7 separate regions of the Mus musculus genome follow, and all the other regions are reported to be linked to region 3. Evidence: microRNA targets listed by miRTarBase, many of them from high-throughput screens and not tested one by one. Region 3 holds a microRNA gene; each other region holds the end of a gene's coding sequence. Distances are between the middles of the regions.

The links. The annotated mature microRNA mmu-miR-297a-5p reads AUGUAUGUGUGCAUGUGCAUGU and lies in region 3 at 2,042-2,063, shown strand. An mRNA with a match to its seed (bases 2 to 7 or 8) in the 3' UTR can be bound and repressed. Matches are read on the target gene's strand: a 7mer-m8 pairs with bases 2 to 8, a 7mer-A1 pairs with bases 2 to 7 and ends in A, and an 8mer does both.
Region 1: the mRNA of Elovl2 is a reported target of mmu-miR-297a-5p. Seed matches in the 3' UTR shown: 7mer-m8 at 1,328-1,334 and 7mer-m8 at 1,840-1,846.
Region 2: miRTarBase lists Capn2 as a target of mmu-miR-297a-5p. The part of its 3' UTR that is shown has no 7-base or 8-base seed match.
Region 4: the mRNA of B3gnt2 is a reported target of mmu-miR-297a-5p. Seed matches in the 3' UTR shown: 7mer-m8 at 870-876, 7mer-m8 at 874-880 and 7mer-A1 at 1,536-1,542.
Region 5: miRTarBase lists Vps39 as a target of mmu-miR-297a-5p. Seed matches in the 3' UTR shown: 7mer-m8 at 2,607-2,613.
Region 6: the mRNA of Etv3 is a reported target of mmu-miR-297a-5p. Seed matches in the 3' UTR shown: 7mer-m8 at 955-961.
Region 7: miRTarBase lists Klhdc10 as a target of mmu-miR-297a-5p. The part of its 3' UTR that is shown has no 7-base or 8-base seed match.

Annotation. Positions count from the first base shown.
Region 1 is chr13:41,181,673-41,185,740 of GRCm38, reverse strand. Elovl2 (elongation of very long chain fatty acids (FEN1/Elo2, SUR4/Elo3, yeast)-like 2) reads left to right here. Exons shown (of 8, transcript NM_019423.2): 8 at 334-3,359. The coding sequence ends at 447. Among named protein-coding and RNA genes, the nearest start is that of Elovl2, 37 kb to the left of the region's middle.
Region 2 is chr1:182,464,655-182,468,722 of GRCm38, forward strand. Capn2 (calpain 2) reads right to left here. Exons shown (of 21, transcript NM_009794.4): 21 at 2,599-3,581. The coding sequence ends at 3,558. Among named protein-coding and RNA genes, the nearest start is that of Capn2, 51 kb to the right of the region's middle.
Region 3 is chr2:10,515,036-10,519,103 of GRCm38, forward strand. It overlaps Mir297a-4 (microRNA 297a-4), which reads left to right and starts at 2,032; the gene lies at 2,032-2,129. The region is part of intron 10 of Sfmbt2 (Scm-like with four mbt domains 2); the gene reads left to right. It overlaps Mir297a-3 (microRNA 297a-3), which reads left to right and starts at 785; the gene lies at 785-886. Mir466l (microRNA 466l) reads left to right here and starts at 1,062; the gene lies at 1,062-1,182. It also overlaps Mir669i and Mir669h.
Region 4 is chr11:22,832,504-22,836,571 of GRCm38, reverse strand. It overlaps B3gnt2 (UDP-GlcNAc:betaGal beta-1,3-N-acetylglucosaminyltransferase 2), which reads left to right. Exons shown (of 2, transcript NM_016888.5): 2 at 1-1,833. The coding sequence ends at 579. Among named protein-coding and RNA genes, the nearest start is that of B3gnt2, 25 kb to the left of the region's middle.
Region 5 is chr2:120,314,236-120,318,303 of GRCm38, forward strand. Vps39 (VPS39 HOPS complex subunit) reads right to left here. Exons shown (of 25, transcript NM_178851.4): 25 at 2,226-3,874. The coding sequence ends at 3,799. Among named protein-coding and RNA genes, the nearest start is that of Pla2g4f, 2.1 kb to the left of the region's middle.
Region 6 is chr3:87,536,029-87,540,096 of GRCm38, forward strand. Etv3 (ets variant 3) reads left to right here. Exons shown (of 5, transcript NM_001083318.2): 5 at 1-4,068. The coding sequence ends at 624. Among named protein-coding and RNA genes, the nearest start is that of Etv3l, 12 kb to the right of the region's middle.
Region 7 is chr6:30,450,378-30,454,439 of GRCm38, reverse strand. It overlaps Klhdc10 (kelch domain containing 10), which reads right to left. Exons shown (of 10, transcript NM_029742.3): 10 at 1-3,953. The coding sequence ends at 3,744. Among named protein-coding and RNA genes, the nearest start is that of 1700012C14Rik, 8.6 kb to the left of the region's middle.

The DNA of each region.
Region 1 (4,068 bases), not on the chromosome of region 3:
AAAATAAAAAACATAAAATAGCAGCTCCTTTTACTCTGAATTTTAAAGGAAGTTATTATGTTTTTCCAAGTGAACAACCAATGAAAGAGATTGATCGCTAGCAAATTATGATGTCACTCAGATAAAGTGAAGTAGCTTTGTCTGACATTCATGTGTCTGTGTTGGCTTTTACCTGAGCTTTGCAGCAGAGGCTTAAAAATGAACAAATTCTTATTAGAAGGTCCAACGCCAAGGAAAACTGTGTAGAACTTTAACTACATGCTATGTCGGGAGTTAGAGACAAGGCCTTATTAAAATGCCTCCCTGCTTCTTCTCCTGTCTACACTCTGACAGACATACCGGAAAAAGCCAGTGAAGAAAGAGCTGCAAGAGAAAGAAGTGAAGAATGGTTTCCCCAAAGCCCACTTAATTGTGGCTAATGGCATGACGGACAAGAAGGCTCAATAAAATGAAGTGCCGGGGAACACAAACTGAGGTGGTGGCGGCGGCGGCGGCGGCAGCAAACAGACGAGCTTGTTTTAAAGCAGAGACTGAATAGAAAGTTGTATGTTTTAGCATAAACTAATTCCTTTTGAGTTTGTAAATCATTTGTACCCAGAATGTATTATAATATATTGCTATTAGGTTACTCTACTAACTGGAGCCATGCCGACCTCTACAAACCTTGAACAGGTGCACAGCCCCCTCTCCGGAGCGCTTTGTAATGCCTTATTCACGTCGAAAACCAGGAGACTCGGGCTTCGTTTCTTCATGGCAAGTCTTCAGAGTTAATTTTCTTTAGATGTGTAAAACTGTTCATTGTAGTGTAAATGTCAGGGTCTGTTCTAGTCTATGTCAAGCAATAACTGTCAGTGCATAAATCGATTAGTCTGCTGTTGCTTAAGGCAGCAGCCCCAGGCAGCATTTAAGCGGGATCCTTAGCAAGACAGAATCCAGCAAAACCCTTTCCCCTCTCAAGCCAGGAGTCTCATCTGCTACATTTTTTTTAACCACCTCTGATTTCCAACTTAGTGATGTGGTAATGAAATTCGTTTGTCTTCAATATAGTTTGAAGATTAGTCATTCCATGAAGGAACAGCCTCTTGAGCTGGGTATGGTGGCACCCATCTGTGAGTCCAGCATTTGGGTATTGAGACAGCCTAGGGTACACAGGCACAAGACCCTGTCTCAACCAGAAAAGAAAAATGTGTTTGCCAAATCATAACTCAGGGGCTTTGAACAGAGCTGTCTCTGTTTCAATTGGCATCCTTGCTCATCCATTCCTGTCTACCTCCCTTGTTAGTCTAGATTTCTGGAGTTATGTTCCCCACATCCAAAGCCAGTGTCTACATACAGCTGCCATGCCCTTTCTGAACAAAGGCTGGAGTTGTCCAATTGCAGTTCTTCTTCGCATAGAAATGCAATTGGAATATTTACAAATCATAATCAACAGAGCCCCAGGGGCAAAATAGACATTCTATTTGTCAGCTGTTGCTGCTGAGCCTGCTGGTGAACACCATTGCAAGCAGTTGCTGAGCCTGCTGGTGAACACCATTGCAAGCAGTTGCTGAGCCTGCTCGTGAACACCATTGCAAGCCATTGCTGTCAAGCTTCATGAGTTAAATTTAACTGTTAGAGAGGAGAAAAGCATAGCAGTCATTTGGAACGATCTCGTGGGGTGGGACTAAGCCATAATGATGTGTCTGGCTCAAGCAGCAATGCTGTCCCTGCTCAGAACTGTGGTCTCTGTGGAGAACCTAGTACAGAGCCTGAGCAAGGCAATGGACCACCTCCTTTTCCTCAAACTGATGGATCACCACTGTTAATCTATACCAGGTGTGAAAAAGGGCATTTCCCAAAACATACACAAAACACAACTTACTCTATTTCCCCTCCATTTCAGCAAATGTGTTCTTGGTTCATGGCACTGGCACCCAGCGCATGGGCACCAGGTAGGTGTTCCTCGAGTGCCAACGGCGGGGCCTGCCCACCCCTGTCTTCCTTTCTGGGCAAGCTCCCATTTTAACTTTTCCCTGTTAAAAATTGTACTGATGTTTTAAACTCGTAACTATACCACCCTTCTCACTGGTGTATTTTGAAAACCACCACAGTCCGATGTCCTGTGCCATGTCTGTCATTCCTGTTGAACAGACTCTTCCTGTCTGGTGACCACCTATGCTTCAGTGCATTTTCTAAACAATTTCTCAAACTGATCTGCTCCCGGGTGCTTTCTTACCACCATCTCTGGTGACTTAGCCTCAAATTGGTGTTTTTCTTTCCCAAGAATTCATCTTAAGGGTTAGCTTTGAGTATGTTACTGTCCTTCTATGACAAGACCAAAGGAACAAACTCCTTGGTGAATCTGGAGTTCAGCTTTAGTTTTCAAACACAATCTGAAATCTGTTAGTAAAATGAATTCTGGGTAAAAATGAGACTCAAGAGGCATCACTGGCCATTGTACCAGATTATTCCTGCTCGCCAGTGAGAGGCGTTTAAGTCGCGCTGTGCATCGTACCTTCAGTTTAGGCTGTTTTCATGACCTCACATCTGTGTAGCACAAAGGGTGTTATCTTCCTATAGCAGATCAACAGTGGCAGCTCACAGTACCAGCCAGCTTTAGACCTCCCAGTGCAAAGCCCAGCGCAGCACTAAGCCTTAAGCCACCCAAGGGCTGACACACCATGCAGAGCTACGAAATCTGTGCTGAGAAAATGCCATCTGGAAAGATTTTTAACCCATTCATTCTTAGTGTGAATTTTCTAAAATAGAAGTATAAAAAAAAAGTCTCTATAATCTGATAGGAAACCGTCTTTTCCCAAGTGAATTCCCTTTTATTCATGAGAACAAAAGTACTTAGATACTATAAAACCTTAATTTCCCCAACTTTTAAAATAAAATGGAATATTTGCTGAATGAATTAAGCATAGAAAATGTCAACCCATCAGAATTATATTTATACATATTGGTGGATAAGTTCTTGTCTTCCCACATCAGAGAATTTTTTTTTAAACCAAAATGGGCAGAATAGCATTTTGTATGTTAGAGACCATTCTTTTCTAGTCCTTCCAAACATTCCTGTGTCACTTAAGAATGTTAGTAGAGGTCGCTTCTTTGGAAATTGAGGACTTTTTTTTTTCCTTTGAAAGTATGGCATCTGAAGAACACAGTATCATGACTCGGGTGGAAAGGGAGGCAGAAGCCATTTTTCTTTTAGATGAAAAGCATTCTGTGTGATTGTTGTATAATAAATTGATTTTTACACTAAAACATCTTGCAACTTTTCTTATTTGGTTCAAAGAAACTAAAATGTGGGCCTGTGCAGTATTCCAAGTGGCCTATTATTCAGAGATTATTTACCAATAAAGTGATATATTAGTGATTAATCTTAGATTCTTAATTCATTTCAACAAGCAGTGGGATGTTAAAGTAACATTATTAATGCAATACTTATATACCCAGTTAAACTATCTCAGAAGGAAAAATTAATAGCAATCAGATAAGCAGAGGCTACAACTATTAGAAACTACTTACTATAAAGAATAAAAATATATCATGATGCACTATATATATTATAGTACAGTAACTATACCATAGCACACTACACTATGCAATGGGAGCACAAGTGACATTGGTTACCAATACTCTGGGCACCTGCAGTGTCAGCGGCGATTTCTTCTCAGGAGCTGAAGCAGGGCCACAGTCTACTGTTTGTCAGCACAGAGGCTACACTGATCCACCACAATGAAGACCCCAAGGCTGGAAGTAGCCTCAATAGTTATGCTCAAAATCTGACCTAAAATTGCTTCCATCCCAAGGTAGAAATGGTAAGGGCAAGGGAGTTAGGAAGGCAGGGTCAGGGAAGGGCAGAAGGAACTTGGAATGAGTGGGGACTAGAGTTTAGGGAGAGGGTGAACATTTTGAAGAGCCTTTTTTCACTTCATGATTTTTAAGATGTGGTTGGGATAAATCTCATTCAAACTTTGTTTTTAAAACTAAAAGGCAAGGAGGGGTGACCCATCCCTGCAATCCCAGCACAAAGAAAGCTGAGGCAGGAAGATGTCTCCGAGTTAAAGCCACTTTAGGATACAG
Region 2 (4,068 bases), not on the chromosome of region 3:
TTAAGGTTCCTAAGTAGCAGCTTTTTATTCACACCCCTAAGTTGTGTATAGCAACATTAATCCTCTGCAGTACAATTCTACAACTCCTTGTCCACCCACACTAGAGATGTATTTGGGATTCACAGATGTTCAAACTAATCACATAGACCTCATATATGCAAACCATCTTAAACAATGCCTATGAGACTTTAACAGGAATTACACAATGAAGGCATCGATTCTGGCCAGATTTTACATAACAATCGACTCAACAGAAATAATCTCTGGTACTCAGTGTTTTCTAAGACCTCAGAATTGTGGGTTGTCAATCTGTCTTCAAATCATGATGAAAATAAGCCACAAGTGGTTGTTACAACAGAACTCAGTCTAATACTTTCTCTCCTTTTAATACTACTTGAGTACATATAATTTATTTCATTTGTAATTTCACTCCAAATTTTACATACAAAGCAGGAAGTCTTGTGTAGAGTAGGCAGTGGACACTGGAGAGACACTGTTGGGTATGTTTTGTAGTCTCGTTTTTAGATTTTTTTTTTTTTTGCATAGCTGAGAGCCTGCTGGAAACAATTCTGTATTCTGTTGCTTGCTTGCTATTGTGTGTTAGGATTCAATGGCTATATCAAACTCATAATTTATCCAACAGTTTAACTGTTCTTTAGTTCTGTGTGTGTGTGCTAGCCAGTCTAACAGCAGGATTTATAGGTGCTTTTTGTTTTTACAAAAGGGAGAAGGAAGCCTTGTGCAGTGGGCCATGCTAAGGAGGAGAGTGTAAACTTTAGGTGAAGTCTTGGCTGGAGGTGGTGTCATGTGACTGGAGTCACAGTTGACAAAAGCAAGGGACAGGAGGAAACTAGGGGAATGTGGACTCAGGTCAGAGGAAGAACTGAGTGGAATGAAAGGCAGCAGAGCCTGGCAGGGGTGGGCGGTGGGGGCCTGGAGGCTGGAGGTGTACCTAGGAGCACCCATGACAGATAACTTGGACCGTAGCCACATGAGAAGACTGATAGGCTGTTAATTAGCTAGACGGTACCAGGTGGAGAAGCGATTTGGGGAACAAAGAAGTGAATCTAGCTAGGACAGTTTAGAATCCCTGGTGCCGGGGAAGGACGGGTCAGGATGGGGCAGGAGTGTGATTGTGATGCTGTTGAGGAGAAGCTATGAGAAGAAAAACTGAAGAGATGAGTGTGTCCGGTCCACAGAAGAGCTAAGGCAGGTGTGGGCTAGCAATTCAGGGCAGAGGTTTACAGGAGTGGTGGTGAGATGCAGGCCAGAACAGTTCCCATGGGATCAAAAAGGATGGGAGTCTATCTCCTCCCTGTAAAATGAGCACCGACCGGTTTTTGGTTTTAGGCTTACTTATTTTTATTTGGTGTGTATTGTTGTTTTGCCTGCTTATATGCTTGTGCACCACATGCATGCAGTGCCCATGGAGGTCAGAAGAGGGCATCGGATCTACTGGAACTGGAGTCACAGCAGGTTGTGAGCTGCCATGAGATGCAGGGAACTGAACCCTGTCCTCATTGCAACAAAGCAAAGTTGGCATCAGGGAGAGCGACAGATGGGCTGGCTACATGCTGCCAGCTAGTGATGTCAAGAGTAGCCTCTGCCACTTGGGAGGGGCCAGCTCACACCTCACCCAAGACCACCCTCCTCTCAGCTTCTTACAGCAGGACCCCTGCCCTCACTCCCACCCAGGTCTAGAACTGCTGCCCTTATTGGAATAACCACCCTCTCCCTGCTAGGTCTCCTAACCTCAGACTTCAAACATTCTATCACCTTCCTCCATCCAATCCCATCTTCAGTCCTTCACCAACACTACTCTGGTCACCCATACTCCCAAGACAACCCATTCCCCCCTATTCTGAAACCCCTCAGTGTTGAACAGAGAAAGCTCAATCCAGTGACCCGAGTTAGTTCCATACACACTCTCCCAACTTCTTAACCTTCCCAGCCCACCTTTAGCTGTGTTGGAGAAACCCATCTACTACTTGAAATGGTGCTATAATTCCCCAACTGTGGAGGTGGAGGCAGGAGGATCAGGAGTTCAAGGCCAATGTTAGTTACATAGGTCCAGATCTGTCTGGACTATATGCAATCCTGTTATATATCCTCTACCCCTAGGAGGTGAGGATCTGCCCACAAAACTGTCCATGAAATAGTGGGTAGCACTTTCCCATCATGCTGCCTTCTTTCTTCCCTTCCCATTTTGTGATTCTTCAAGGATCACCAGCGACAGGTCTAGCCCTAGACTAGTGATTTACTATGTGGGTTTCTCAGCTCCCACAATGGCCCCCCATCCCCATGGGAGCAGGCCTAAGCTCTGGAGCCAGCAATGATATAGGGGGTTTCCCCAAAACCGTCCTAAACCAGACCAAGCAGGTGGAATTAGGATTGTCCTTTCTGCCAGAGTGACCAGAACTTCTGAACTAGAGTTTTAAAAATGTTGTACAGTTCCATAGTTTAATTATAGGCAAGATGCCTTCTCAGTGTCTGAACCTTCAGAGCAGCAGACCTCACGTAAGTAGAACCCAGCTGTTACCTGTGTGCTCCTCAGCCCTCCCATGGGGGCCATGCTCTATGAAGAAAAACAAGGCATGGTGCGACTGTGTTGTAACTCTTTATTAACAGTACGTTTGGAAGTAGATAAGGCAATATGTCTGTATGGTTGCTAGCATTTTCCCAGGATGAAGAAGCCAGCTTGGTTGTTTTAAGAAGATCTTCTGAGCCCTGTCCTCCCCAGCTGTAGGCACAGTCCCTGGGGTTTATCACGATCTTCTTGCAGACGGCACACCTGGCTCAGTTGGTCAGAGTGATCTCATTACTTACTACTTGTCAGACCTAAGTGTCTAAGGCCAAATATGGTCAAGGACTTGAGTTTAAGAATGCTAAAGGTATATAAAAACCATCTTCTGTTAGAACCAAATGATGGAAGCAAGCATGCCCTTTTTTTAAATTGGCATTTATTTTCTGAGATCGGGTCTTGCTAGGCAGCCCAGGTTGGCCTTGTGTCAGACACTCCTGGCTCCTGGATTCTTTAGATGCCTCCATCAGACTGGGTTCTTTAGATGCCTCCATCAGACTACTTCGTCATTGTATTTCTCAGTTCGCTCAGGGCAAGCGGCAGTCTCTGGGCTGCTGTGGCAGGTGCCACCACTGCATTTAAAAGTTAAAATTTCTTCAAATATTCCCATCAAGGCCTTGTAGCCTCTGAGATTGGTTTACTATTTGCCCAGTTATTTAAAGCTCTCTGCATTCCTTCCTGATTTAATATTGCTATGGCCAGGACAATGTGTAGAAGTAAAAAGGATATACTATTTACAGGTGTAACGCTTCCTCTGACCTTACCAAGGGTTATGCAATTCATTTGCATTTGGTTTAATAATATGCAAATATGTTACTCTGATATGTGAAAAGTTCATCTATCCCAGACGGTTATATTCTTCAGTTATAATCATCCGATGAAGTCAATGTTCCCGTAAGTTCAAGGTCCAGATACAAAGTGTCTAAGTGTAGTCATTGGCTGTTTTCTTCCACTAGACCTCTCCAGGCATGTAACTTCAGAGTACTGAAAAACTCAGCCACTGTGAAAAAAAGAAGAAGAAACAAAACACTCATTCAGGGAGCGTTGTTAAAATGAAAGACCTTATAGGTGGCTTTGAGTTATTCTGGAGATGGCTGAACCTACCTTCTGGAGTCTCGTCTTAGAAGTTTGATAATTTGTGTGATTTGAACTGGTGGTTGTTGTAGTATTGAATACATGAAGGGTGACATTCAAATAACATGTGAACCAGTTTCACACACTTCTGCCTCAATACACCACATCAGAGGTTTGGAGGTGGGGGTGGTGACGCATACCTTGAGTTATAGGGAGGCAGAGGCAGGCAGATTACTGTGAATTTGAGGCTAGCCTGGTTTACATAGAGAATTCTGGGATAGCCAGGGCTACATAGTAAGAACCTGTCTCAAAAAAAAAAAAAGGGTTTGTGATATGGACATCCAAACCCTCTGCTTTCAGCCTTGGTTCTACTTTCAGTTCTATAGGAACTCTATCAGACTCTAAATTGATGT
Region 3 (4,068 bases):
TTTTAGAGATTATGCAGTAGTGGGACAGTGAACGGTCTCACTCGCCATGTGCAAACATATTACAGATTGAGCAGGGTCGGGAGTTCAAATTCATGCTTAACTTCAGCTGGACATCATCCTGGTATTCATGTGATGCCACCCGTGTATGTGCATGTGTGTTTACGTCCCTGTGTATGCACATGTGTGTATATAAATATACATACCATAAACATACATGTAAATGCAAGCACACAAACATGGAATGGCATTCATTGATACATTTGAATGATGTGTGACATAGAGCTTTAAAGATTATGTAGTATTGGGCTAATGAAACTTTTTACTCACAATGTGAAAAAGCTTCCCATATTCAGAAGGATTAGGAGTTCAAATTTATGAATAACTTCAAAATGGCTTAGAGATCAGCCTGGCTTTATGGGTTCCTTCCCAGTGTATGTTCATGTTGCATAGTTTTGTGTGCTAATGTATGTGTGCATATGAATATACATATAAATACACACAAACACATACACACAGGCACACACACACACACACACACACACACACACACATACACACACACACACACACACACACACACATACCCCGAATGGCACTCATTGATACTTTTAAATGACATGTGACTTAAAGTTTTAGAGATTATGCAGGGCTGGATCAGTGGGTGCTCTCACTCACAAGGTGAAAATGCTTGCCAGAGTCAGGAGGATCAGGAGTGGAAATTCATTCTCAAATTCATGAGTCCAGGATCAGCTTCGGATTCTAGTGATGCCCCCAGTGTATGTGCCTGTGTGTATATGTATGTGTGCATGTGCATGTGTGTATATGAATATACATATACATACACACATACCCATACAAACATGCACACAAACACACAGAAAATTGACACTCATCGATCCATTTCAATGATATGTGAGTCTTAGAGATTCTGTATGACTGGGCCACAGAGAGGTCTCACTCACCAGGTGACGCCCCTTGCCAGAGCCAGGATGATCAGGAGTGCAAATTCATGTTCACTGCATGATGAGGTAGAGATCAACCTGGCATTCATGTGATGACCCCTATGTATGTGCATGTGTGTTTGTGTGTACATGTACATGTATATATATATTGATATACATATAAATACATGCACACATATTCATGCATGCACACGCACACATTAATGGCACTCTTAGATCCATTTGAATAACATGTGACTTAGAGGTGAGAGATTATGCAGTACGGGGACAGTGAGTGTTCTCACTCATCAGGTGTAGACAACTGCCAGAGTCAGGTCTATCAGGAGCTTAAATGCATGCTTACACTCATGAGGACTTAGAGATCAGCCTGTGATTTATGTGATTCCCCCCATGCATGTGAACGTGTGTATAGTTGTGTGTGCATGTGTGTATATGAATATATATAACATCCACACATGTATAAATGCAAGCACAGAAACACACAAACATAGGAATGGTACTCATCGATCCATTTGAATGATATATGACTTAGAGTTTTAGAGATTATGCAGTAGAGGGACAGTGAATGGTCTCAATCACCAGGTGTAAATGATTGACAAAGTCAGGAGGATCAGGAGTTCAAACTCCATTTAGAGATCATCCTGGTATTCATTTGATGCCACCCATGTATGTGCACGTGTGCTTACATGTGTGTGCATGTTCATGAATGTATATGGATATGCATGTGCAGACACACACACACATGCAACACACACACAAACACATGGTGACTTGCATTCATCTACTTGCATAATATGTGACTAAGAGTTTTAAAGATTATGCAGTACTGTGCCCGTGCATGCTCTTACTCAACAGGTCAAAGTGCTTGCCAGAGTCAGGCCTTAAAGGTATGTGACTTAGAGTTTGAGAGATTATGCAGGGCTGGATCAGTGGGTGCTCTCACTCACAAGGTGAAAATGCTTGCCAGAGTCAGGAGGATCAGGAGTGGAAATTCATTCTCAAATTCATGATTAGGTAGGGATCAGCTTCAGATTCATGTGATGGCGCCCCCCCCCCCCAGTGTATGTGCCTGTGTGTATATGTATGTGTGCATGTGCATGTGTGTATATGAGTATACATATACATACACACATACCCATACAAGCATGCACACAAATACACGCAAAATCGCCACTCATGGATCCATTTGAATGATATGTGACTTAGTCTTAGAGGTTCTGTATGACTGGGCCAGTGCGTGATCTCACTCACCGGGTGAATAATCCTTCCAGAGTCAGGAGGATCAGGAATTCGAATTCATGCTTAACTTCATAATGAGTTAGAGATCAGATGCGATTCGTGTGATGCCCACCAAAAATGTGCATGGGTGTATAGTTGTGTGCATATTCATTTCTCTATATGAATATGCATATACACGCAAGCACACACAGGAATGGCACTCATATATCCTTTTGAATGGTATGTGACTTAGAGCTTTAGAGTTTATCCAGTAACGGACCAGAGCTATGTCTCAGTTAGGAGGTGAGTATTCTTGCCAGAGTCAGGAGGATCAGGAGGTCTAATTTATGTTTAACTTCCTGATGAGTTAGAGATCATCCTGGCATTCATGTGATGCCCACCAATAATGTGCATGTGTGTATAGTTGTGTGCATATTCATTTCTCTATATGACTATGCATATACACACATGCATACAAACTCACATACAGGAATGACAGTCATATATCCTTTTGAATGATATGTGACTCAGAGCTTTAGAGCTTATGCAGTACTGGGCCAGAGCTATGCCTCAGTTAGGAGGTGGATACTCTTTCCAGAGTCAGGAGGATACGGAGTTCAAATTCATGTTTAACTTCATGATGAGTTAGAGATCAGCCTGGAATTCATTTGATTGTCCTTGTGTATGTGTATATATGTGTAGGTAAGTGTGCTTGTACATGCATGTATATGAACATACACACACACATACATATACACATAAGAATGGCAGTCATAGATCTGTTTGATTTATATGTGCTTAGAGTTTTATAGAGTGTATAATTATGGGTCAGTGTTACATCTAACTCACCAGGTGAAAACCACTTGCCAGAGTTAGAAGGATCAGGAATTTAAATTCATGCTTAACTTCCTGATAAGTTTGTGATCATCCTGGCATTCATGTGATGCCCACCAAAAATATGCATGGGTGTATAGTTGAGTGCATATTCATTTCTCTATATGAATATGCATATACACACATGCACACACACACACACTCACACACAGGAATGACACTCGTTTATCCTTTTGAATGGTATGTGACTCAGAGCTTTAGAGCTTATGCAGTACTGGGCCAGAGCTATGTCTCAGTTAGGAGGTGAATACTCTTGCCAGCGTCAGGAGGTCCTGGAGTTCAAATTCATGTTTCACTTCATGATGAGTTAGAGATCAGCATGCGATTCATGTGATGCCCTCCCCCATGTATGTGCATGGGTTCATACTTATGTGTGCATGTAAATGTATGTATATGAATGTTCACATACATATACATAAACACACACACTGGCATTCACCTACACGCACATTAGTGGCTCTGATCGATCTATTTGAATGAGATGTGACTCAGAGCTTTAGAGCTTATGCAGAACGGATCCAGGGCTAGTTCTCCCTCCAGGTGAAAATGGCTTCTGTGGAAACCTGACAGCCTGAGTTGGATCTCTGGAACTCAGCACACAGGCAGGCTATGGTGTGATTCTTTTGGTTTTTCGTACACCTGATGATTTTCTTTGAGTTTTCAGATTGCAATATATCTTAATTTAAAATTTATCGTTCATCTGGCTCGGGAGACTGGAATACCTCCCTCATTAATAGCTGTCTTCTCTTTCATTCTCTATGAAAAAGGTCACTTTTAATTGAATGGGGTTAAGAGGTAAAGCTGGGTTGCTCTTAATATTGAAAACATTTCTGGTCGTTAAAAACTAAGAATCCTTTTGCTTATTTAATAATTCTTTAAGAATTTTTTTAAAGTGTTGTTTTTCCCTGTCAACACTTGATATTTATATGATATTAGAGTCTATTTTTGGTGATATCTTTGTCTCCTAACATAATTCAAACTAGAATGCTGTGCT
Region 4 (4,068 bases), not on the chromosome of region 3:
CAGGACATCCTCATGTGGAACTATAGAGACACATTCTTCAACCTGTCCCTGAAGGAAGTGCTGTTTCTTAGGTGGGTGAGCACTTCCTGTCCAGACGCAGAGTTTGTCTTCAAGGGCGATGATGACGTGTTTGTGAACACCCATCACATCCTTAATTACTTGAATAGCTTATCCAAGAGCAAAGCCAAAGACTTGTTCATAGGTGACGTGATCCACAATGCTGGGCCTCACCGGGATAAGAAACTGAAGTACTACATCCCAGAAGTCTTCTACACCGGCGTCTACCCACCGTATGCCGGGGGTGGTGGATTCCTGTACTCCGGCCCCCTTGCCTTGAGGCTGTACAGTGCGACTAGCCGGGTCCATCTCTACCCTATTGATGATGTTTATACGGGAATGTGCCTTCAGAAACTGGGCCTTGTTCCAGAGAAGCACAAAGGCTTCAGGACATTTGATATTGAAGAGAAAAATAAGAAAAATATTTGTTCCTATATAGACCTAATGTTAGTACATAGCAGAAAACCTCAAGAGATGATTGATATCTGGTCTCAGTTGCAAAGTCCTAATTTAAAATGCTGAAATAGACATGAGCTGCATTTCACAGAAAGGCCTAGCCTGACTAGTTCCCATGGTGTGCTCTCACAATAGGTGAGTTCTGTGTGAGGCTATTAGCCTTCATGAGCAGGTAGCCCCTGGGCTCCCAAGCCCTCAGTCCTTCCCTTGCCTTGTGAAGAGGGAAGGCTGAAGACAGCTCAGCATGGCAGGGTGAGTGGTTATGACCCTTCCTCTGGCTGCCGGTCCTCAGTTTCTAATTTGTTTTCTTTCTCCTCCACAATTATGTATGTATGTGTGTATATATGTGTGTGTGTACATACATACATATATATATATGTAGGACACAACCTGGTGGCTTTGTGAAATGGAATTCTATGTATTTTCATAAGATTTTGAAAGTTGTCTAGAAAGTAGACTGATGTCAATCTCCCGTCACCCAGCAGTATTGTCCTTGTTACTAGAAACCGTTACTTCCTTTATGCAAGGAAAGCCACGCAGTGCGTGTAGTTCATCTTGTCAGGGCTTATGGCCATGAGGACAGAGGGGATTTTCTTTTTACTTGTGTTTGGTTTCCTGGGTGGCATCATGGTAGTTAACCTATTTTTAGTATTTGAAGATCATGAGTGTGATTCCCTAATGGCCAACTGGAGACTGAGTAGCCCGACAGCCATGGGTCTGTGAGTGTTCAGAGACTGGGAAGCATTCGCCACTTCTGAGCTTTGGACGTGATTAGTCAGTTAAAACCCCAAGATTCTATTCTTGCCATATTATCACGTATTCCTTAGATAAAATTCTGGGTAGTGACACTTCCCTGTCTCAGTGTAGAAGTGCCTGTGCTTTTATTTATTGTTCAGATCAAACACCAAAACATTTTCTTAAAAAATATTTTGTGTAATATTTTATTTGTATACAGTGTTTGTGAAATATTTAACTAGAGCATGATATTTTATTTTTTCTCATTTTTAATTCTTTGAGAATTTCATACAATGTGTTTTGATTGTATTCACCTCCCCATCTCCTCCCAGATCCAGCATGATGTTTTAAATGTTAAGCTGTAACATGTTAGATAAAGTTAACTCTTATTTTTGAATTTTAAAATTTGGATGGGGGGGTATGAACTGCTAGAGAAAATAAAGTTCTGCCAAAATATTGCATATACTAGTATCTTGTAACATGCTTTCTTGAAATATTTTTGTGCTTTAGAGGGTTCTCACCTGTGCTACAGGGGACTGGGAAAAAGTGGAAATAAAGTGATTGTATTTTTTAATCATCACGTATAATAAGTGATACTCTTTCTGTTCTTGTTTCCCTGTGTTTCATGACATTCTCCCTGGGCTATCTTTCCCAGAAACCATTACAGTCATCATTATATTAACAGTCTGTGTCCGTGGGTTAGCCATCACTGCATCTGTAGTCTTAAAAGCACTTCCCACCTATGTGTGTCTTCCTGAGAGCTGTGCCATCTGGTTTTTTTTGTTTCTGTTTTTGATTTGAGGGGGTCTCTATGGGGTCCTGGCTGTCCTGGGGCTCAGTATGTTGACCAATCTGGCCTGGAATTCCTAGAGCTGCTCCTCCCTCTACCTCCATTGTGATGATGGAATTGAAGACATGCATTCCAGCTATAAAGCACCTGGACCCCCACATCCCAAGCGTCTGCAAGAAGGACCCAGGCATTTCCAACCACGGGTTGCACTTCTTTCTCGACCTGTCAACTAATATACACCTTCATGCCCTTCCTCCAAGGCCTCCCTGAGATCGACCAAACCATTTTACTGACTTGACCCAGACCAAGAAACCCTGGTGTGCAGCACCCATGTCTGCTGCCTGTCTTTATGAAAGGTATACAAAGTAGAAACTCCTATTCTGTCCTTGGATTGCATTGTTTGAGAACATGATCTAAGGTGGCTAGGAGTGTGTGAAGGCAGCTGCCTGCTGGGACTGGGGATCTGCTCAGAACCCCGGAGGAGGTGCTGAGTGCATATGGTTTGTGTCTGAAGCCCAAGGGAGCTGTCTTTTTCTAAGACTGCTTTAGAGATGGTATACTTTCTTACAAAGTTTGTACACTAGCTCTAAAACAAACAGGCTTCAGGGTAACACTGCCACTCTCACTACACATCTACCACAGAAGAAAAATGTTGGTTGAACCATGACAGGTTTTTTTAATTTGATATTACTTTGTGGCTTAAGGTGACTCTAAAGTGTTACCCCACCCCCAACTCGCTGCTTCAGTTTCTCAGATGCTGAGGTTACCAGGTTGTGGCGCCATGCCTAACTGTGGCCATTTTTCTTTTCCCTTTTTTTGCCTTTTGAAAATGCATTCCAGGACCTGGGGTGTAGATCATTTAGTAGAAAGCTTGCCCGTCATGCACAGAGACCTGGAACCAAACCCCAGGACAACATAAACTTGGATGGGGTGTGGTGACACGGGCCTGTGTCCCGGCACTCTCCAGAGGTGGAGGCAGGGCTATTAGAACATCAAGGATATCCTTGGCTACATAGGAAGTTGCATGCTAGTCCAGGGTACACGAGAACCTGCCCTGGTCACTTCCCGTCCACAAAAAATCCCCAGTGATGTTTTGTTTTCTGGTTGCTTGTGCTACGGGAGTCTGTTGTTTATGAACTCAGTTGAAAATGAATTAGCCCTGTTAGTATTTCATAGTTATTTCAAATTGTGTTGCTGTTATTTTCTTGAGAGGGGATATTAAGTGATCTTGGTATGTTATATGAAGAACACAGTTGTGTAAAAATTCATAACGTCTTAAGTTTTTGTTCTGTATCGTGTGTATGTGGACACACATGGGCCATGACACCAGAAGACAAAGTTATGGAGTCCTCTCCTTTCACCTTTATGTGGCTTCCAGAGTCTGGCTCAGTTTCACCCACTGAGTGACCCTGTTGGCCCCTCAGGAAATGTTTTATATTAAAGGATGTGCACCCCAAGTTCAGCTTCCAAGCGTGAAGGCTGCAGCTGGGTGGATCCCTTTGAGTCTTTTGGGTGTTTTTGTTTTTGTTTTTCATGCTGTGGTTTCTCTGTGTAGCCCTGGCTGTCCTATACAGAACTCACTCTGTGAACCAGGCTGGCCTGGAACTCAGAGATCTGCCTGCCTCTGCCTCCTGAGTGCTGGGATTTAAAGGTGTGTGCCACCACGCCCGGTGAGGATATCTTCCCTTACTGTCTTTGACTAAGCAGGATGGGAGCCCCACAGCTTTGATCTCAAACGTTGGCACTGCTTTCTCTGCTCTGCAACTTGTGCTTCCTTCCCACCCTACAGATTGAACTTAAACAGGAAGGCAGCTGAGCTTTAACACGGCCCAGCCAGGGTGTGTGTGCCATTGTGTGTGTGCAAGTGTGTATGTGTGTGGTTCTGGGATCTGCCTGCACACCAGGAGCTTCTCTGGGAAGGCCACTCTGTGCCTTCCGCCCAACGTTCTCCCTTCCACCAGTGCACTGAGAGAACTCCCAACTCTTAGAGAAACTGGTGGTACCATCTCCATTTAGGCCCAAGCTGGGTG
Region 5 (4,068 bases), 110 Mb from region 3:
GTTTGAAGTGCTCCAGGAAATGAGTGGAGCCTGCTTTCCCTAGGCAATAGGCAAGTTGCTCCCTTTCCAAGAGACTCTTGGGGTCCTGCTTAGCTCTCTGGTCTCCAACTCAGGCCCTGCTTAGCTGAACTAGTTGTGAAAAACAGACACCACTCCCATCCCTTGCCATGTATGGGTAGGGCAAGAGCCCAGATATTCTTGTTTCCAACTAGTCTGCCATTAGCAGAAGTCAGGAGGTACTATAATCAGGGCTAACCTCATCTAGCTGCCAGAAAGCCCCACACCATCTCTCCTTCAAGTCCCACTTTCTCCACAGCTCTTAAGCAGAAACAGAAATCTCTGGCTCGGGTTTTTATGGGGAATCACTGACATTTATTGTCTCTTTTGGCCTCCCTCAGTTATTTCCTTAACACAAAGGTCATGGTATGTCTGTACCAAAGCCACCCACACCCTGAAAAGATTCATTTCATGACTCCTTTCCTGGGTTGGTAGAAGTGCCTGGTGCTTCAGGCATAGAGGCGGGGGCATGGCCAGGTATTGTAAATAAGGACAGAAGAGAGGCAGGCCTCTCTATCCTTAAACTGCCAGAGATAAAGGCTTTAAAGTGTCCATGACCATTTTGAGGCTCCGGCTGCAACCGCATGTCATGTCCTTTCCTGTGGACCACAGTCATCTAGGTGGCGAGGCAGGGACAGTGGCTAGCAAAAGTTCCTAGGAGACTCTTTTCATCTCTTTAACCATAACCCTTTCATATAGCTAAGGGTAGTGGTACACAGAACCCCAGGACAGGCAGGAGGCTCACTTGAACTCAGCATCGTGAGACCAGTTTAAGGTACCAGATAAGACCCCCATCTCGACCAGGTAATCTCTACTGCCTTCCCTCCCTCACACATCCACAGCTGGAGGCTGCAATGACATCCACAAAGGTGAATTAACTCCCAAACGAACAGGCCATGCTCAGACCAGAAATTCCAGAACCAGAGGTGACGTAACTGTGGTGACCTGCTTCACCTCAGATAGATTGTAAAAGAGATCTGACTCAGAGATGGCTAAGCCCAGCCCCCTTGCTGAACATGGATAGTTCAGCACCTGGATCCCAGGCTGAAGCTGGGGCTTTGGGTAAGGAGGGGCAGAGTTCTAGCTGGCTGAGTGCTTTTGGGCTTAAACCATATTCTCTGCTCGGAAGCCATCTCCCCATGCCTCAACAGACATGCCTCAACTCAAGTTCTGGATGCTTTTCACTGGCAGAAGATCTTCAGGACAGCCACAGACAGACAGCTAGGGTATCACAGAGGGACCAAACTGGCATTTTAGAACCAGGAAAAGTGAGCCAACTTTACTTTTCAAACAGAGTCCCTCCCTCTTACCAATTCCACATCTTCACAGGAGTCTTCTGGCCATAGTGAGCTTCAGGAGGCACAAAGCAATGGTGTATTAGATTCTGGGATTCCCAGAGCGATGATGGAAATATTCTGTGCTTGTGAGATCAGCCACACATCCACAGCCACAGATGCTGTGCTGGCCACAGATGGAGGCTTTTGTGAGAGGAGTGTTACTCTTTTTTAACTTTCTGATTCTTTGTGAATTTCACATGTACTCCAATCCCATTCAACTCCCCAACTCTTCACATCCACCCTCTGCCCCCGCAACCTCCCCCTCAAAGGAAAACAAACAAACAAACAAACAAACAAACAAAATACTGTTGTGGAAGTAGTAGTGCATCAGTGTGTCCCACAGTACACCCCTTTGTCCACACGTCTTTACTTGGAAATGTTCATTACAACGAGTCACTGGTCTGGATCTGCTACACTATCAATACTGGATTCTCAGTGGGACGCATCTTGGATATTCTCTTGTTGCCCTGGGTCATGCAGCTTTGGATCTGCAGGACTGGCCCTTTTATGTGCTCCAGCAGTTAACAGATGGGGTAGATGTTGGGCTGGGCCAACTCAAAGCCCTGGATCTGAGCCTGGGTGGTAGCCGAGTTGGTCAGCCCACCAGCTCTCCTGCACCCACACCACCAGTGTGAGTTCTCTAGCACTGCTCTGGCTAGCTGCAGCAGGCAAGGAGCTGGGCCAGCCCCCCGACTCTCTTGAGAGGAGTGTTATTTTTACTGTTTTTCATAGTTACTAGCTGTCTTATCTTATTCTTCTCTCTTAGCTAAGCTACTATCCCCTTACATTTCCTTTAGTCTTCAGAAAGGGAAGAGGGAGGCTCAAGGAAACTTGGTTTTTCACTTATGTTTATTGAGAAGCAGCCTCCATCATCCTTAGGCTGGAGCTACCCTGTTCCCTCTATGAAGGGCAGGATCCTGGGAAGAAAGGATGGAGTTTAGGGAAACAGAATTAAGTATGCACACCACCCAGGAGAAAATACAGGCTTTATTCTACTGCTTCAAACACAGTTCATAAGAAGGGATGCTACAAGCCTACCAGGTAAAAGGGCAGGACTCACATGATGGCACAAGTTCTGGTCCTGTCCTATGGGGAGTGGCCTGGCATCCCAGTGCCACTCCCGAGGAAGTACATTTTAAGGTGGTGCAGATGGGTTCATGGGCAGCACTGTTTTTTTTTAAACTTTATGTATGGGTGTGTGGCCTGCATATATGTATGTGCATGTGTGTGCCTGGTGTCTGTAGCCTCCAAGGCCAGAAGTTGCTGTGTACCTCTTGCTCTGCGTACCTCTTGCCGGCTCCCTGACATACTCAACAGAGCTGCTCCTGCATTACTCTTTGCCATTCCTCAGTGCCCCACAAACCTGCACGCCATCTCATCACTATTGGTTTCTGGTCAGCTGTTCCCTGTGTGCAGTGAGACATACTTTACCAAGCTATCCTAGCTCGATCCTCCAGTCTTGCAGAAGAAAGGCCAAGGAACAACTATGGCCAGGAAAACAACAGGACAGAAAGTGGCTAGAGTGGAGGAAGATGCTCAGCGCTCACCTATAAAGACTCAACAGCCTGTCCAATCAACAGCCTGTCCAAGCAGCTGGTGAGTGGCCGAGGCAGGCACTTCTAGAGAGATCCTGCCTAGACCACACACCCTGCACAGTGCTGCCCCGGGGAGGTACCAAAGCCTACACCTACAGAGACTTGTGTTCTCCTACACATCTTAGTAGAAAAGTTCAGCTCCTGAGACCCTTCATACAATGTCCATGACACCTGCTCATCAGGGCCTCCCATTTGCCACATTTAAGCATTAGTTACTCTACCTCCCACTCTACACAGTGGGAGGGGAAGCGTGGACGGTACAAGGGAAGAGATCCAGGGGTAAAATAAATAGTGAGGAAGAAAAGGCGACTGAAAACGGAAGGGATAAGCAGGGAGACTCCTGGAGAAAACACTGGCAGTATAAACAGCCTGCGGTCAGTGGGCTGGCAAGCTCTAGTGCTGGGCTCCCATGGGACTCTCCAGGCCGCCATGCTGGGGGAATCTTGTGAAGCTGTGTAGTTATTGTAATAGAAAACTCACAGTCAACAACCCCATGGGTACAAACACTTGAGATGAAATCTCCTTGTCCAGATGATTGGTATACAAAGGCAAGATGGTGCATTTCCTCCTGTCCAAGCAGGGGTTAAACTCCTGGAATTGTCTGCAACATAACAGCGTAAGATATAACTAATCTCTTCTAGTAAAAAGCCGGCAATGCCAGGTCACAAGTCCAGTTAATTCGGAGATGTTCCAGAGAGCAAGGTGGCCAGCATCGTCCCTGGTAGCAGTGCACGGTTCTCAAGGTGGCTGCTCCTTCAACTCTCTGGGAAAGCTGAGCTGTCCACTGCTGAGTGCTTGGGCTGCCGGGCTCAGGTGTCGGCTGAGTTTACCTCTTTGGAGCAGAAGTAGTGCACAACCACCCCATTGGGGTATCTTGCAAATGCACTGTGTGGAAGAACAGCTGAGAGTGAGTGGTGTTCTATGTCTCCTCCAGCACCTGCAAGAGGCATCAGCCCCAGAAGCCACCCCCAACCCAAACAGCAGCCTACTCCAGTACCTCTGGACCAGAGCAGGAGCTATGCACCACCCAAGTACACGCAAACAGCTTTGTCGCTCCCTCAGTGCAGGGACAGGGTGTA
Region 6 (4,068 bases), not on the chromosome of region 3:
TGTTCGGTGTTCAACTACCATCTGAGTCCCCGGACTTTCCCCCGTTACCCAGGGCTCATGGTCCCACCGCTGCAGTGCCAAATGCATCCTGAGGAGCCTTCCCAGTTCTCCATCAAGCTGCAGCCCCCGCCGGCTGGACGGAAGAACCGCGAGAGGGTAGAGAGCCGGGAGGAGGCTGTTCGCGGCTCTGTGCCCGCCAGCGCTCCTGTTCCCTCTCGGATTAAGGTAGAGCCGGCCACAGAGAAGGATCCTGACAGCCTCCGGCAGTCAACCCAGGGAAAGGAGGAACAGACCCAAGAAGTGGACAGCATGCGGAGCAGGACCATAGAAGAGGGGAAAGGCACCGGGTTTGCCCACCCCTCACCCACCTGGCCCTCTGTGTCCATTAGCACTCCCAGTGACGAACCCCTAGAGGGGACCGAAGACAGTGAGGACAGGTCTGTCAGGGAGCCCGGTGTACCCGAGAAGAAAGAAGACGCCCTGATGCCCCCTAAGCTTCGGCTGAAGAGGCGGTGGAATGACGACCCTGAAGCCAGGGAGCTCAACAAAACGGGCAAGTTCCTCTGGAATGGGGCAGGACCCCAGGGCCTGGCCACAACGGCCACTGCTGCCGCTGATGCTTAAAACCACAGTGGAAGGGAAGCTGTTCATATTACAATCAAAATACATATTTATGTAGCAAGATTCTGGGGCGGGAGGTGGGGTTCAGCTGGTTTGATAATTCTGGGGCGTGGACTTGTACTTTTCTGTTGGGGATGGGACGAGGATCTTGTGTTGTATAAATAAGTGGGGTATGGACACTTTTTTTTCTTGGCGCGTAGGACATAGGGAGGCTATGAACTTTGGGGAAGGAGCCTGTTTCCTGTCCCCTCCTGCTGCCTGACAAGCTCCATAGGCCCATACACTGTAGTCCCATCACAGGTCAGGCCCTATAGTCTTTCCTATTGTGTTTATACATACAGAAAGCCCATAGTGGGATAGTTTGCTTTGAGAGGGAGAGAGAAGAGGAAGAGGCTGGAAGGTTAGGCGTGAGAAACATACTAACCATGTACCTGAGTATGTGTTTCAGGAGAGGAAAAAGTTCATCGCAGTCTTACCGAAGTGGGGGGCATTTAGATGGGGTTCTCTACTCCCCTCTCCCCCTTCTCCCTCACTGGAGTGTGTGTGTGTGTGATGTGTGTGTCTATGTGTGTGTGTGCACACACACAGAGACACACACATGCTCTCTCCCATGCATGCACTCTCTCTTTCTCTCCCTGGGGGGAGGGTGACACACGCACATTTGGCTCCCCTCCCCCCTTTTTAGAAAATGTTTTCAAGACACATGAGTGTACTGCCAGTTATACTGGGCAGGGAGGGCACCGGAGACCCCCCACCCCCGGCCCCTCAGCTTCAGAGTTGAGGTGGGAAGGCAGCCTGGCTGCGAGGTCCTCAAACTCTCACCTTCTTCACCTTCAAAAAGCCATGAGGAGTTGTAAACTCTTGATCAGGGAAGAAAGAAGAGGGCAGGAGGAAGTAACCCAATGCCTTTAAAAACAAAACAAATGACAGAAATAGTCTTCATTTTCTTTTTCTTTTTCTTTTTCCATTGTTGGTTTGGTTTCCCAAACCAAGCGTGACTGAGCACGTTTTATGAGGAGCAGGATAGCGCCGTTGAAGATGTTTTTCTGTTGTGTCTGGTTGTCTTACTGTTTTCTTAAGTCGAGCCTTAACTACGAACATGCTTTAAGATGATACGGGTCTGTCAACATAAACCTGTGAAGGGCATGGACGCTGTTCAGATAACCCAGGAATGTTGAGGCACAGTCGAATTCCTAGCTGATAGTTATTCCCTCTGATGTTGCCGGTCCGGGTGGCAAAAGGGCAGAATTGTGGGAATGAAAGGCAGATGATAACCTGCAAACTCAATGTACTGCTTGTCGAAACTGAAGGAAGAGGTAGGAAGGTGGTGACCAGATGCCAAAAGGTCTGGTGTAAAGGAGAGAGCGGTGTTGCCTGCGGTGGTGTTGCCCGCCTTGTGGTCCCCCGTTGCCCAGATTGTTCTGATCGGTCGACTGTTCCCAAAATGCAGTTCACCAACAGGGGTCATTTGTCCTTGGGAAATCCCCTTACAGCAACTTCAAAGGAATGGGAAGATACTGATCTTAGGTGAAACAAAACACTAGCACTAGGGTAGAGAGAAAGCGGCACCAGCCAACGGCCTCTGTGCACGTGTGTGCTCTAGTAGCTCAGAGCAGCAAGAAGAAATGGTTTCCTATCTGCTGAGGCAAGGGATGGCACTCGGGCATCAGAGTGATGACTCACTCCGTCCGCCACCTGAGCCTGGCCAAGAACTCCATACTAAGTGACATTTGAGTGTTGTCTTCTGATGGAGTGTTTGGGTTTGGTTTAGTTTGGTTTTATTTTCTTTAACTGAAATGCATGCACAAAAGGAGCTCAGGAGACATTAGACCTGGTGAAAGGTGTGAGCTGACGTGGATCACTTGAGGCTGTCATTGCTGTTTCTTGATGAGTGTCCTATAACTTGGTCCAGATTCCACGCATGTGTGAAAGGCCAGGAAGGGGGCCGAGTGGTCTCTGGTGACCCAGGCTCTGGTCGGGCCACGAAGGACTTCAACCCTCCTGTTGCCTTTGGTGGTTGTGTTTTGATCAGTTTCCTTCTCTGCACCTTGACGGACCTCTGAATCAGAAAGCAGGCCCAGCAGGTAGAGGAAGGCTCTCTGGTTGGTGTTGCCCATCAAACCAGGGAGGCCAGCTGGCCACCGGTTGTCTGCTAGTGGGGACGGCCAGCGAGCATCAGTATGAACTCAGGAATAGAAGCGTGGGGCCTTTAAAATGAGGGCAGGAAATCCATGATGCATACCTGAAACCCCTAGAACCCAAGTGCCGGAATTCATTCTAGATGCTGCTTCCATTTGAATAAAGCCACTGCTTTTACACTTGAAAGTGAACTCCATGAAAAATGCTTTTGGACTTTTATGAAACTATTTGCCGTTTGTTTCCCTTGATTGCCATTCCACCAGTAATCTCTTGGTTGATTGGCACTGCACACAGTTGGAGTCTGGATCTGGGGAAGGGTCTGTCTGCAGAGCAGAACTTGGGCTCGCTCAGGAAGTGGACCAGGAAATGTAGTGATCACTGATACTTCCTGGGGCAGAGGAGTGAGAGTGCTCGTCTCTCCCCAGCCCCAGCCTGGCAGTTCCTGCCTCCAGCCTGGTGTCACCTTCTTTCTACGAGCACGCCATTGACCATCAGCCAGGCGAAAGGGGGCTAAAAGCCGGGCCTACTTCCTCTCCCTGGGTTTTTTCTTCCCTCTAAATTTTGTTGTGCCAAATGTGTAAAACTTTGTAGGTGTAAATCTATTGCAATCTCACTAATCAAGAGCTTGTTTATTTAAACAGTTTGCTTTTTTAGCTGTAAAGAGTAGCAGACTCTCGGGGCATCAGCTCTGCTGTGCTCGCGGGTCTTCCTAGACATCAGGCTGCACTTCTAACCCCAGCTCGGGAATGCAGGGAACCCTAGTGACCCATAGGCCAAGAAACTTCCAGAAGCATTAAAAAAAAAAAAGTTATATTCCACTACCAAGTGGATAGTCATTTAGCTGTTTGTCCCTTGTTTTTTTATTTATTCCATAATTATGTTTGTGCTTTTTCTTGTGTGAACAGTAGTGGTGAGGCCTATGTTTTTATGTGGCTTTAGAGAAAACTTCAGTCTTCAAAGAACTCTTCTAATTAGTTCCTTCTTAGAAAAAGTTATGCGTTAATTTGTTTCAAAATATTTAGGCATTCTTTGAATTATAAACTTGTGATGCAGGGATTTATGAATGAGACGTTCACATGTGAAGATGACTTCACTAAGCATCTGTGTAAGCAGAATAAGATGTGTATATGTACATAAACTATAAGGAACCTGAACACCATTGTGCAGTGCCTTTTAGATGTTCTGCTTTCTAAAGTCTTCAAATTTTTTGCATATATATTATATATATGATGTAATGTTATAGAAATATATGTATAATATACATATTTTTTCCAGGGGTATCTGATAGCTCTGTATTTTGTTATGGAA
Region 7 (4,062 bases), not on the chromosome of region 3:
GGACCAATGGAATTTACACCTATGGTAACCAGCTCTTGAAAAGCGTGGCTGTAACAATAAATCCTCCTGCATTCACCCTGAAGCCCAACACCAGGAAACAACAGAAAACAAAAAGGAAAATGGCTTTTTGTGCTACGTCAGAGTGTTGGTGGGAGGGCCACTCTCTAAGCATCACTAAGACCACAGAACAGCAAACTGCTTTTACAGGGGACAAAACCAACACAGTCCGAGAGGACAGAGCACCCTTGCTGCACACCAGGACATCAGACTGCAGAAGGTGACTCCAAAGGAGGAAACAAAAAAGCAAGCTTTGCCAAGAGCCAGGAAATGTGCTCAGACAGTGGGGTTTCTGTTTCTGTTCAACACAGCCTGTTCATCCCACAGGAACTAAGAGTTCTCTCTGGTCAGGAAGCAGCAGAGAACTCAGCAGCAGGCTGTGCTCAAGGTTCCCACCGGTGGTCATTTTCCTACCAGTGTCTAAGTTAACTGGGAGCCTGGCCTGGCTAGCTGCTGGCCCTTCTTTGAGCTTCTTTTCCTTCTCTGACTTCTCGTCCCTTGAAAAGGGGATGTGTGTGGAAGAAGGACAGGAAGGGACAAGATATGTAAATCAACTGTTTGAAGGAGAAGGCTAAACACTGATTATCTATGGATTTCGATTGTGTGTGCTTTCACCTTGCTACAGTGGATAACGAAAGATCAGTCATACTTTTAATCTAGAAATGTTAATATTTTCATCATATATATAATTTTAAAATCTAGCTCTGTACTGGACATGAATGCTATAAAGCAAGCTTTTATATCAAATCATTAGGCCCTGAAAGATGATTTCTGCCAGTGGGAAGGAAGGGTTTTGTTTGTCCTGAAAAGCAGGTAAAGTTTCAATCTATTATATACTGGTTTGCAGTTTTCTGTAAAGTGGAAAATACCTTATCGTAAAGAAAACATCATTTAATAAGGTATTACATTCCCAGATAAGTTAGCGTATATGGGGGGGGGGGCTGTATTAACATTAGGTTTCAATTCTCTACCTGGGCAACACTTTCAAGTGGACTTCCTTATTCCTGGGCAAGACATGCAAATGGGAGGCAGTACAAACAGGGATGGGAAACCCTCAGCTCCTAGCAAACTGAGGAACAGACCTTTTTTTTTATAACTAGAATAAGAAAACATGGACCTGAAAGAAATCCAGCTTTACCAAGAAGTTGGCTTATGATCACACTAAAAGTTCTTGGCATAATTCTACTCTAAGGTAATAAGTTGACTTGCCCAAGACAGGTACAAAGAGTGGTGTCACTGCTTTACACTCGTCGATTCTACATAATCTGTACAGACCATATGTTTCTACATATTGCACTTCTACTTCCAGGACTGCAGGAAGATGTCTGGGCGCACCTCAAAAAGGCAGGGGGGCAGCAGGCATCACAACCTTCCCACACCAGGTGATGCCACTGGGAATCCCGAGTGCTGGTTATAGAGAAACCAAAATGCTGGTGACCCTTAGAGAGGATCCAGTCACCTTCCTTTAAGTCCTTCTCCACAGTCATTTGGCATCCAGAACATGTGCGTGAGTGGCTGCGGCATTCAGCTGCTTCCTGCACCACTTTCGCTAGTGTTCTATTCAAAGACACTTTAGACCCAACATGCACTTCTAAGATACAGAAGGTCGTTGATGTCAGGCCTCCAACATCCATCTCAAAGAGACTGCCTTCAACTGGCTTAAAAAGGATGCCAACAAGTGTTGGCTTGAATCAGCCCCCTTTCTACAGCTTTCTAGTGTAACAGAACCAGAGTCAGCCTCAGTTGTCCAAGGACCATGGGAGTCAAAGCACAGAGGCTGAACATTGCCTTTGGTCCCTATATAAACCAATGACAAATATCCTTCTGTCACCCTAGAAAACATGGCTTATTTAGTTTGGGATACACTTCCACCATGTGTCCAGGAGACCTGGCCCAGAGTCACAGTTTTGAGCACACAGTGGCTCAGGCTGACTTGCTCTGGAGAGGGGTCTTATGAGGAGTGCGCCTATCGGTGGCAGGAAGTAAAAGCCACACCAACAGGAAGTGGCCAGAGCTGGGGGTTAAGACCCCAGAAACGCAGGTCCATCCCCTCACTCAGAGATAAGGGCTTCACTCAGGACCACAGAGCAAAGGCTCCACTAACTTAACCCACACGGATGGAGCATAAGGCCTGTTGGGAGCCAAAGGGAGGAGACCTCTCTAAGACTGCACACCGGGCAGGAACGTTTTTTTACTGTAACTCAAAGGTGACTTTTATTTCATATCAACTAAAGAGATCTCTTTTGGGCTAAAAGAAAATGAATAATATTAAAGCTAGGTGGAAAAGAGGCACTTAAAGGAAAAATGTGTTTGAAATCTCCTACATGTCTCCTCTGCAAGGAGCCTGCAGGGGGGACTGGCTGCACCCTCCTGCAGGCCTCTAGCATCCTGACTGCACCTATGGACACCCATAGGCTTACACAAGTCACTCCTCAGCTCTTCTAGCTGCCTGAGGACAAAAGGAGTAAAAACGTACGTTACTTTTCTCTCCAGAAAGGAGGAAACAAAATCTCTCACCAACAGAAGCGAATCACCCTGTCTCACCCCTTCCTCCTGCTGGCTCTCCAATGACCCCTGCTTCTTGAGAAGGAGACCCTGTACCTTTTCCCTTAAGACCTTCCTCCAGTCACTAGGCAACCACAGCATCGTGAACACAGAAGCGGACAGCAAAGGAGGCAACAAGCTCAGGAGGCAATCAAGAACCAACAGTTTAAGAAAACGCAGGGACATGGTCCAGAGACTTAAAGAGAAACAAGTTCTAAAAAAGCAGCAGCTGCTATGCTAGTCAAAGCCAGCACCCCAAGCAGAAGGTAAGACAGTTAAGCCTGAAGGGTGCGGGTGCTGTGCTCTATCTACTGTCCGTAGACATTTACATCACACACTTAAGAGTCTACAATCCCCCACCAAGAAGTCAAAGACATATTTAAAGCCATTAATAAGCACAAGGGAAGTTCAGAACTGCCTGGAAAGAACTTGATGCCATATACATTTAATTTGAGAGACAACAACAGAGGGTGATGATGACAGACACACTAAACATTGGCAGGCCAACGCTAACCACCGGAGCGTTACAGGATTGAAGGGATCGCTAATCAGACGTCACTGAGCTGCCTGCTAGTGTCAAGGTCAGGCATTTTTACAGCAAGTCATGAAGCACCGTTGAGTCCAGCCACTCCGCACATCTCAGAAACACTAACTCAACATCCAGACTTAAGAACAACCTGCTAGGCTACCAAGACTAGTGTTCTCGCTCTATCTCCCAGACCAAGAGTTGTTGTTGCTGGCTTTTTAAGCTTTGTGTTTGTTGATGATATTTTAATCTGTAGTGTTAGTTGACATGGTCAATATGCTCAGAATTAAAAAAAAAAGGCAACAATTTCTCTCTCTTGATTCTTAACATTATTAAGGGACTTTCAGACATTCCCTCAACTCCATCAAGAAAGAGGGAGTGCATAAGTGTGGGGTGCATTATGAGGGGCAGGAGGGAGGGGAGCAAAGAAGAAAGCACATGAGAAAGTGAAATGTCCATAAACTAAACCCATTCACAAAAAGGCATCTGATGTATTTTCTGAATAAGGCCTTGATCAGGGTAGCCAATCCTCTTTGTAGCACATTCTACACTGCCCATAAATAAAGGAGTCTCTTTAAATTAACATTTCCAGTATCAATGAACAGTCCAGAAATCTTCATTTCAAACGCTCGATGAGTTCCTGTGTGAGTCCAAGGTGCAGGAGCTGTGTTCGGGAGAGGTTTGCTAGGTTGGGGAAGGCCGCGAGCAGCTTCTCCCATGCCAGTTCCAGCAGGCTAGGTACCACCAGCCAGATCTTAAACAGCGACCCAGTCCGTTTGTTTTCATGGATGTTCACCACTCCTCCGTGGATGTACATGCAACCAGCCTGTGAACAAATGGCAGTGAGAAGACGACAAAGTCAAACACCAGAGCAAGAGTGACCAAGGCAGACTCAGCAACGGAAACAAAACCAGCCCACAGGCTGGACATACGAA